Linked DNA regions of Caenorhabditis elegans. The protein of the gene in region 2 purifies or fractionates together with the protein of the main gene of each other region. This does not show direct contact. Each region holds a gene or a part of one and is shown on either strand. Other genes may lie near its edges. The genes, in order: syx-3 and ric-4.

Region 1 (5,357 bases), on a different chromosome or scaffold from region 2:
CAATGTCGGCAAATGCTAGTTTCCTAATTTTTCAAGCACGCAAAAATTTTGATAATTTATGGTTTTTGAAATTCTCAGTAATTTGCCGTATTGGAATTTGCTGATTTTATTTGTGTTTTCTCGAGAAATGTTACACAAAATTTTCTTTGTATTTCATGACTACTAGAACTTATTCAAAACACTTTATAACATTAAAAAAAATGAAATTCTTATCAGAATTCTCTTTATTGAAAGAATTTTAATTATAAAACCAATTCTTGTTGATATTCAAAGCATAGGTCACACATAATACAACAAAAAAGACAAAGGCACACAGAGAAAATATTGAATATTAAAACACACAATAAACGGCAGAAAAGCTGAGAACGATGAAACGGATAAGTGAACTCCATATTATCAGTTGGAAAATCTGCCAAATTAAAAATTAGAAACGAATCAAAAAGTGAGAAAGATCTTAAAGCGATCAAATTAGTGACTGGTCGTGATGATGAGGGATGTGCAATAAAGATACAGTGAAATACAGTGTAATCAGAGTTGCCGCAATTTTGCAGCAAAACAACCATATGTTTGAGCATTTAACAAATAGGAGTAAAGTGGCAAACGGCAGATTGAATAAAGAGAATCAGAATTAAAACAGCTATAATTGAACCAATGATGATGCACACCTTCATTTTTCGAGCTCGTTTTTGCAAGTTTCGGGCTTCTTCCACATTTCCACGCGCTTGTTTAGCATATTCCGTGGCATTTTCTACACTGTTAACAATACTGTCCACCATCTCTCCCTGAAACAAAAACAAATGTTCAAAATGGTTACTTTATTGACAACTAGGTCGTTTTTAGATTGAGATTTTTTTAAAAATATAATTCAATATTTCCAAAGTTTAAAGCTGCAGTTTTGATATTGAAAACATATATTAAAAAATAATTTGGATTTTAAAAAGATTATTGGAAAGCAACAGTAAGATGCATTGAAAAATTCAAAAACAGTGAATGGGGATCATTTTTTGATCGATATAACAGGAATGCAGGTCCAGGTGGGAGAGCAAAATTAGACAAATTACGGAGTCGAAACATAGCTCCTCTCTTTATTGCGTTCCTGACAGAAATCACAATAGCGCTCCTATGAGAAAATTCGAAAATAATTGTGAAAGGTTGTCTAGATTTGCACTGAAAAATAATTTTAAAGAAAATTTTGCGTTTTGATTTCGGCATCGTATCTCGAACAATTTGTTGCATTTGTTTTTAACAAATTTAAAACTCCTAAAATGTAGAAACTTTAAAAAATTACAGTTGTAAAAACATATACAGAATGAAGCAAAAAAATTACCAAAATCAATAATATATGAATTGAAGCCGAATGATGTACCTCTCCCCGAAATGCATATGAATTTTATTCCTTTTCACGCGATCGCTTTTTATGTGGTTTTTTTCGGAAAAAAATAAAATAAATACTTGCCTGACTGACAACCATTATATGGAGATCGTGGAACATTTGTGCCAGTTCGCCCATCTGACGTTCCAAATTTTTCAGCTCATCCGCTCGGGATTTAACTTCATCATATAAGGCCTTTTTCTCGTTTAGCGCCAACATCACACCTTTTGTTACTTCAGAAAGGTTTCCAGAAGATACTGCATTTTCAATCTCTTCATCGCTGAGTTGCATGTTTCCTAAAAAAAAAATTTTGTTTACTTTGCGATTCTTGTAAAAAAAAATCTTCATAAACTGTATTTTTTTCAAATATAAGTTAATGTATTTTCCGAAATATTTTCAGTCATCAATATGATAAATATTTTTTTAGGTTTTCCATATTGTAAAATTGTACCAACTTTATTCTGAAAAAAATACAGCAGCTGACATTTTACGGGTCGATTTTTTACTACAATTTGTGAATCAATTTGAAAACTACGGGACTTTGCAATACAGTTTTATTATTTATTGAAACAACTGGGCATTGGTTTTTTTACTCGGAAAAAAAGTTTTTAAAACAGGGCGTCCGGTTCGAAAGTTTTATGAAAAGCAGTAAACTACTTACTAATTTTTAGGTAGTCCACAATTTTCCTCTTTGCCTTCTCTTTATATTCATCTTGTTCTCGATTAAAGTTCAACATGATATTTTCGAAAGTCTTGTAAATAGATTTCACTTGATCACTTTTCGCACGCATAATTCCGCACGCTGTAGTTGGTATTCTGCTGGTTTCCTCCGATAAAACTGAAAAAAAGTTTCTAATTCAGATACTCTAGATTCCAATCAATTACTTTTCAAACTATTTTTGATTTGTTCCGCTTTTGAGAAAAACATCTGGTTGTGACTTTTCAATTTGTTCGAGTTTTCTGAATCCGCACCAGGCGTGGACAGAAGTGCTCCGTGGAGTTGCACGACTGCGTCGTAGTCTTCCTCGAGACTTTTTAATCCTCCGCGAATATTTGAACATCTTTCTAAGAACTGAAAAATGAGTATAGTTTTGGGATGTTTGTTTTTAATTTATTTGTTGCTTTGTACTTGTATTTTGTACTTTTTTTTCAACTTTCTTTTATAAACGACTTCAATGAATTGAACAATTTCAAGTTCATTTGGCATTATTTTTTATGAAAATCGATGAAGTGATTAGTTCACTGCGTTTGAGCTTTTTGAGCCTATTCATCACTTTTCTGTGACATTTCTGTGTTTTGGATTAATTAGAATGAGCATTTTCGTAGTTTATGTACAAGTACTCAATCGAAGAAATTAAGCAATTCCAAAATAAAGTTTCATTATCACTTGCATCATCTATTACAGAACTCCATGTTTTGATGTTTTAAACTAGATTTTTTGTCTCAAAATGCCCAAACATTTAAGATTTTGTTTCAAAAAAGGCTGTAAACAAAACACTTACCATTTCAAAGTCAGCATCTTGATTTATTAAAGGTTGGGATTCCACGTCATATTTTCGTGCAGGTGGATCATAATTATATGCATGTATAGTGTTAACTGTTGCTTTTTCCTGAAAATTAGCTGTTCTTATTATGAAGATAACTTGTACCAACAAAATCCATTTGAGTACCCTCAGAACAGGGCTAAGTTTTTTTTTTTCGGAAGTTGAATTTGTTTCTCCAAAATAGACAACGACCAAAATTTTTTTTGACAAGAGCACAAAACAAGCAAAAACTAAAAATTGTGAAATTGGGAAAATTGTTGTTTATAAATTTGAAATTTTGCATATACTTACGCTCTAATTACAATTACGAGGGTCATTAAAATTGATAAATTTAAAAACGAACAATCGTCAGCCCTTTTCCAGATACATTTTTGAGATTCGTTATTTTACTGGTTCTTGTTCATAGCTAGCATGTTGAAAAACTTAACAGCAAAACACATGTTTGTTTTTGTTTTAATGTTTTGTGTATAATTAACATTAAAAACATGTTTTTACACCTTAAAACAAACCCATTTAATATATGACTCACTTGTAATTCCTTTAACCGATCCCTAGGCATTTCTGACTACGACGAATTCCTGAAATTTATTATATTAATTTTGATTTTTTTTCAGTAGAACAAGCAAAACCAAACAAAGAGGGGAGAAAAATTTCAAGTATTTTGCTGATAATATTTTTTTCTCATCTTTTGAATTATATTTTTCAAGAATGTTGTTATCATTTAAAAATAACTCGCGTAAAAACGATAAAAAGAATTATGAACTTTTCCTAGAAGCTTATAGTTTTTGGAGCAAATAGCAATGAGAAACTATGTTCGAAATTTTAAAAAATCAAATATCATCTGTGTGGGAGGGCTGAGGGAAAAAAGAGAAAAAATATATTGAGACCAACAACTGACAAGATGAGAAACAGACGACGATTTTTCGAGAAAGATTCCACTGTGAAACACATTTTCATCTTATTAAAACAAAAATCGTACTTTCGTCATACCTATGCCGCAAAAAAGATGGCAAATCGGAGAATTTAAAAGTGAGAGATAGAGAGGTTGCAGGTGCTTGACTCGGTCAATACAATATGGTTTTTAACAATTTGTCGGCTTGTTTGTTTTCAGCACTTTTTTCTTCGTCTCAACCAACTCATTTCGCATGCAGCACACAGCACAGAATATATGACATAAAGTGAATTAGAAATTGGAAATTTGGAAGAAAAACCCAGTTGTCTTCAAACAAAAAGTAAAAGTAAAAGTTTTGTTGGAATATTCCATCTTATTCCAATATATGTAACTTTTTTATTTGAGTAGGTAGCCAGTAACCAGAAGAGTAAAAAAGAGAAAAAGTTCACTAACCAAGAACTACAAAAGGGTATTTAAAGGGCACCATCAAATAGGAAAATAGCTACAACACAGAAAATGGAGAAGATTGTGGGCAATTTGAAGCGGCGAACATGCTCCGGACGCATGCACTAATTGTGCACAAACGCGATACAATAAATGAGATTTGAAATAGAAGGCCAGCATGAAACCAAAAAAAAGGGAAATTTTTGAGAGGGAGCAAGTAGACAAAAAGAGTGAAATGGGGTTGCAGAAAGGAATGAATTCATTGATGACCCATGGAAGCTCGCGATGGCGGGGGGTTTATGTCGTCTATTGTGGTTGTGTTGTTGTTGTTGCAATTTCGAGAAGTAGAATGACATCACATATCAGATGGCTCGTAATCAAATATATTTCTCGTACCACTTTTTTGGCTTTGCGTTGAATTTTTTCTGAAATAAATTTTGTGAATTTTTAAAATCCATATAAAAAATATAGGTAAAAAATAAAGGTTTTGCGCTCATCTGGAGCTCATCAGAAGCCCGTTGCGTTGGCCTCTAAAGCCAAAAATGTGTTTCAGGACACTCTATGAAATACCAACAGTTTTGACGTGTTACATTTTTGTTTAATCTTTATGAATTGGTCAAAATAGTGGACCTTCGTTGATTAGTTGATCAAAACAAAACAATTTAAAAGTCTAATGTTCCTCAACAAAAAAAACCATCTGATCATATGCTAATCACTTTTAAAATTATCTTTTCGTTTTCTGGTGGACTTTTAGAAAATACCTTTTGTTTCTAGAAAAGCACAAATTTTGAAAAATCCACATTTCACTGTTTTAGGTCAAAAACAAAACTTTCTGAAATTTTTAAAAATTGTCAATAAAACGAAGATTTTATTTCAAAATCATTTTGCTAAAATATTTGAATATCACAGTGAAACTTTTCAAAAACGTTCTGAAATTTTCTGATTTGAAGTGGTGGAAACACAATTTTCAGCTATCATAATTTTCAAATATGCCAAAACATCGTCTCTACGAGTTATATAGCTTAATTGCGTTTCAATTGTTGGTATTTAAATATGCTACTCGTTAAAGCATGCAGCAATGCTCAATCAAAAATTCTCGAAAAGT
Region 2 (3,947 bases):
TCCATGATGATAACATATTAAATAAACCCCAAAACTATTTATAAAAAATGAAATAACTCCCGACGTGCCCATAAATATCCGTACAGATTGTTCAATTGTTTCCCCAGAAGTGTTTAACATTACGTGATTGAAAAATGGAGCTGTGAATTTTGAAGGAATTTCTCGAATTATTTACAACCTAAAAAATAAACATCTGCGTTGGCGTTGATTAAAAAGTGATGTTCAGGCACAAAAGGAAAATATATAAATATCAACAAATATATATATTTACATAGATTGGACTAGTTCGGCTCATTTGAGTGGAATAAAGCCTAACTTTTAAATAAAACAATGTTTAATTATTGAAACAAAAAACGAATAAGCGATAAATTAATAGATAATATTCGAAACTCAATTGGCATCAAACGTCACTTTCAATGAGATTAGTTACAGAATAATCTTAAAAATTGACTTTTGCTTACAACTGCGGCAAAATTAAAATTGTAGACGTAGTTTATATAAGTGAATAGAAATTTATGCAATCAGACGAATTCTGATCATCTGAAAGTTGTGACAACTCATTCCACCTGCAATTTGATTAAAAATTATAGACTGCTGTAATCTGTCATCAAACCACAAAAACACAGAAAAATTGATAGTTTGTGACTATTCGTCATTTTCAAAGATCAATTAATTTTTAAAATTCTGTTAAGTGCAAGTATTTAAATAATTTATTCGTTATTATCCATACTTTGTTCATTCACATTCGTTTCATTATAAAAAATTAGGGCATTTCTGAAGCATGTAAAATGAATAAATGGGGGAATGTAAATACTCACAACTACCAGGTGTTTCAAGTTTCAGCTATATTTTAAGTTTTTTGTGGAAATGGGTGTTTTTTTGATTTAAAAAAAAATAATTTGTTGATTGAATAACAATTTTTGAATTTTCAATCGAAAAAAACAACTGGTCCAAGAGTAGGAGAAAAATACTGGGAGTTTTGAGAAATTATGCAATGGAAAATGGAATGGTAAGATGAGACACAGAGAGTTTTGAAAACATTAAAATATTATTTTGTGATGAGATTCTTCGCACGCTTGTTAGCAGATTCCACACGGACTTCGTTGGATTGAGCCTGGAAAAACATTGAGTTAAATAGAATATTCGATGATTTAGATTCTCCCGAGTTTACTGAGTTTCTCAAAGTATTACAACTAGAACCAGTATAAAAATAGATCATTATTTTTGATTACAAAGTTTCAAACGAACATTTCTCAATAAAGTTTTCAAGGAAAAATATTAGAATTAGTTTCTCATAGTGACATAATGTTCGATCAATACATTTTCAATCTAAATTAGGTTTTTGCAAATTTTCTTGTTATGCTTTGAAAATTCAAATTATCATTACACTTACCTTGTCATGAATTCTGTCGAGTTGTCTATTCTGGTTGGAAACTTCTGTGCTCATATCAATTGCCATGTTACGCAAATTGCCGACCATTGTTGAAACTTGTTGAACATTCTCGTCCATTTCATCTTCTCGTGCATCATTAGTGATCCTTCAATGAAACAATTGAAATGTTATCTTATTCTAATAAAACTTACTTGGTAATATATCCTCCTTGAGGTCCCATCGATGAATCTCCAACAGTGATCCTTGGCTGATCAGAGATAACACCTCCATCATCATCTTTCTTCCATGCTTTTGCAAATTCCGTCTTTTCAAAGTCATCGGTCTTGTTCCATGGCAATACACACAAACCACAACATTTTTCCATTCCTTTCAAATGATCTTCTGCTTCTTTCATGTCCTGATTGATTGTATCAAGAGCACCTTCGCAACGCTCAAGTTGTTCTGAAAACCACAAGAATGTATTTAATAGTCTAGAAGTTTGATGACTGACCTCCTTGATCATCGAGCATAACCAAAGTTTTGATTCCAGCCTCTTTACTTTCTTCGCAAAGAGCCAACATTCTTCTGGTGGATTCCAATGACTGAAACGAAACATTTATAAATTTAAGAGACAACTTTTTTTCATTTCCTAAATTTATCTCAAACACATCTTTCAATCAAACTTCTTCTGCATCAACTATTACCTCTATAGTCTTTTCATCAATTCCCACATTAAGCCCTTTAAGCTCATCACTCATATCAGCTGGAAGTACCAACCCATTGATATCGACAGTTGGCTCAACGGCATACGGACGGGGATGCCGTTGGCCGCCGGGAGCGCCGCGCCGAGCCGACATCCCCGTTTTTTCAAACTTTCAAAACCGCCCCGGCTACACGGGGAAACGATATTCGACGTTGTTTTCGTATTTATTGGTACCTTAAAACTTTTCAGATACGAAAGAAAGAAAGAAAACAAGAAAAAAATTTAAGAAGGTCTTGTCAACATTTATTGGCTTGAGAGAATCCGTGAATCAAATTTTCGGCACCTAAACAAAATGACAACAATTTCACGATTGAGGGAGCACGCCGAAACGAAGAACAATGACGTTTATGGAAGAAGACACAGATTTCGGAGAAACTTGATAGGAATGAGAGCCACGAAGGAAAAGAAGGGCACACACTGGATTGACTAAACATCCATTTTCAGAATTGGAAGACTATGCATGTTCTCCCGAGTTTGGCCAGTTTGTGACAAGCAAATATTTGGAATAATATTGGTTTGAATTACAATTAGCTTTTTCAAATTATATGAAACAGCAAAAAGCCTAGTTTCTGATAACAACTTTAGCCAATTCACCTCCAAATTACATGGCTGATGACCGGAAAATGAGGTGATTGCTTGTAATCTTTGATAGAAGAATTATATAAATGCGGTTCAAAATAAAGATATACATAATTAAATGCAACCATCCGAAATAAAAGTTTAAACTTTTTAAATATCATGATAAATGAAACATTCGATCACTTGAACGTCTGATAAAATATTATAATTTAATTTATTGAAAAATTTCCTAATTGAAAATAAACAAGTAAGTATAATGAAAAAAGATTTAGCTTTTGGAAAGAAATCACGAAATGCCTATTCCTGTTATTCAAAGTTTCTAAGGTGATCTTACAATTTGTTGTTTGGGTAGTTTTTTGATTATGGCTGACTATGATTCATGAATAAAATGAGAGCTACTCATTGATCAAAAACATATCTTGCCTTGAGGCATTTAGTTTTGTTCATATGCATTTCCAAGATGCTACACAAAGTCATAAAGTCAACAAGCTCTTCAAGTCTCACTTTAAGTCAATATCTTTAAAAGGTCTGAACTGGGAAACTGAGCCCCTTCTGGCTTCTGGACTCGGAAATTTCGGTCTTGAGAGAAAAGTAAAGAATTTATGTTTTCGATTGGAAAGAAGTGGTAAGTAAATTCAGAAACGAGAGAATAAAACAACCCAGCAAAAAATGGAGGATGTGGAGGGACAGAATGCAATACGTAAATGGAAAAAGGGACATGCATTCGAAATGAGAAGAAAGATATGGAAAAGTGTGGAAGAAAAAGCTGGAAGGAGAAAGGGACTCTTGGGAGTTTGATTGTACTACTAAAAGAGAAGAAGAAAGACAAATCAATCAAAACTTTCACGTCGTTAGTCAATGAGAATGAAAGAAGAAAAAAGAAACGAAAAGCTGAAGTTTTTGGTTGGTGAGAGAGCCTATGCTAATTGGGGGAATACCGGAGGGAACTACTAATCGAAGAGCTCTAACTTTATTTTTTAATTTGTGATTTGATAAGAAAAACAATGTCTATCACATCACAAATTGAAAATAAACGGATAACTAGTATTTTCTCACGTGGATATCAAACAGGCTAAATAGCTTCAAAAAGACAATTTTTTGAACATCAAACCGAAACTAACACAAATGCTACTTGGTTTGCAGTGAAAGAGCTTTTGAAATTTGAAATTTTGTGGTAATGTATGAATGGAGTTTTTAGTGAGTTAGGAGGAAAGCGGAGACAAAAAAAAAGAA

The links.
Region 1: the proteins of ric-4 (region 2) and syx-3 purify together in Caenorhabditis elegans (affinity purification with western blotting, with the first as the bait; one study listed by BioGRID). This does not show direct contact.

The regions. Positions count from the first base shown.
Region 1 is NC_003284.9:5,347,235-5,352,591, reverse strand, and holds syx-3 (Putative syntaxin-3), read right to left. Parts: upstream 3,495-5,357; 5' UTR 3,476-3,494; coding exon 3,446-3,475; intron 2,983-3,445; coding exon 2,875-2,982; intron 2,445-2,874; coding exon 2,258-2,444; intron 2,211-2,257; coding exon 2,034-2,210; intron 1,669-2,033; coding exon 1,453-1,668; intron 779-1,452; coding exon 576-778; downstream 1-575. Other genes in the region: C26B9.1 (PH domain-containing protein), read right to left, coding at 4,630-4,677. UniProt on the Caenorhabditis elegans protein: Potentially involved in docking of synaptic vesicles at presynaptic active zones. Acts in the intestine to regulate anterior body muscle contractions (aBOC) and the expulsion steps during the defecation motor program (DMP).
Region 2 is NC_003283.11:10,260,435-10,264,381, forward strand, and holds ric-4 (Synaptosomal-associated protein), read right to left. Parts: upstream 2,310-3,947; 5' UTR 2,230-2,309; coding exon 2,077-2,229; intron 1,975-2,076; coding exon 1,884-1,974; intron 1,835-1,883; coding exon 1,585-1,834; intron 1,539-1,584; coding exon 1,394-1,538; intron 1,115-1,393; coding exon 1,049-1,114; 3' UTR 697-1,048; downstream 1-696. Other genes in the region: sri-18 (Serpentine Receptor, class T), read right to left, coding at 1-120.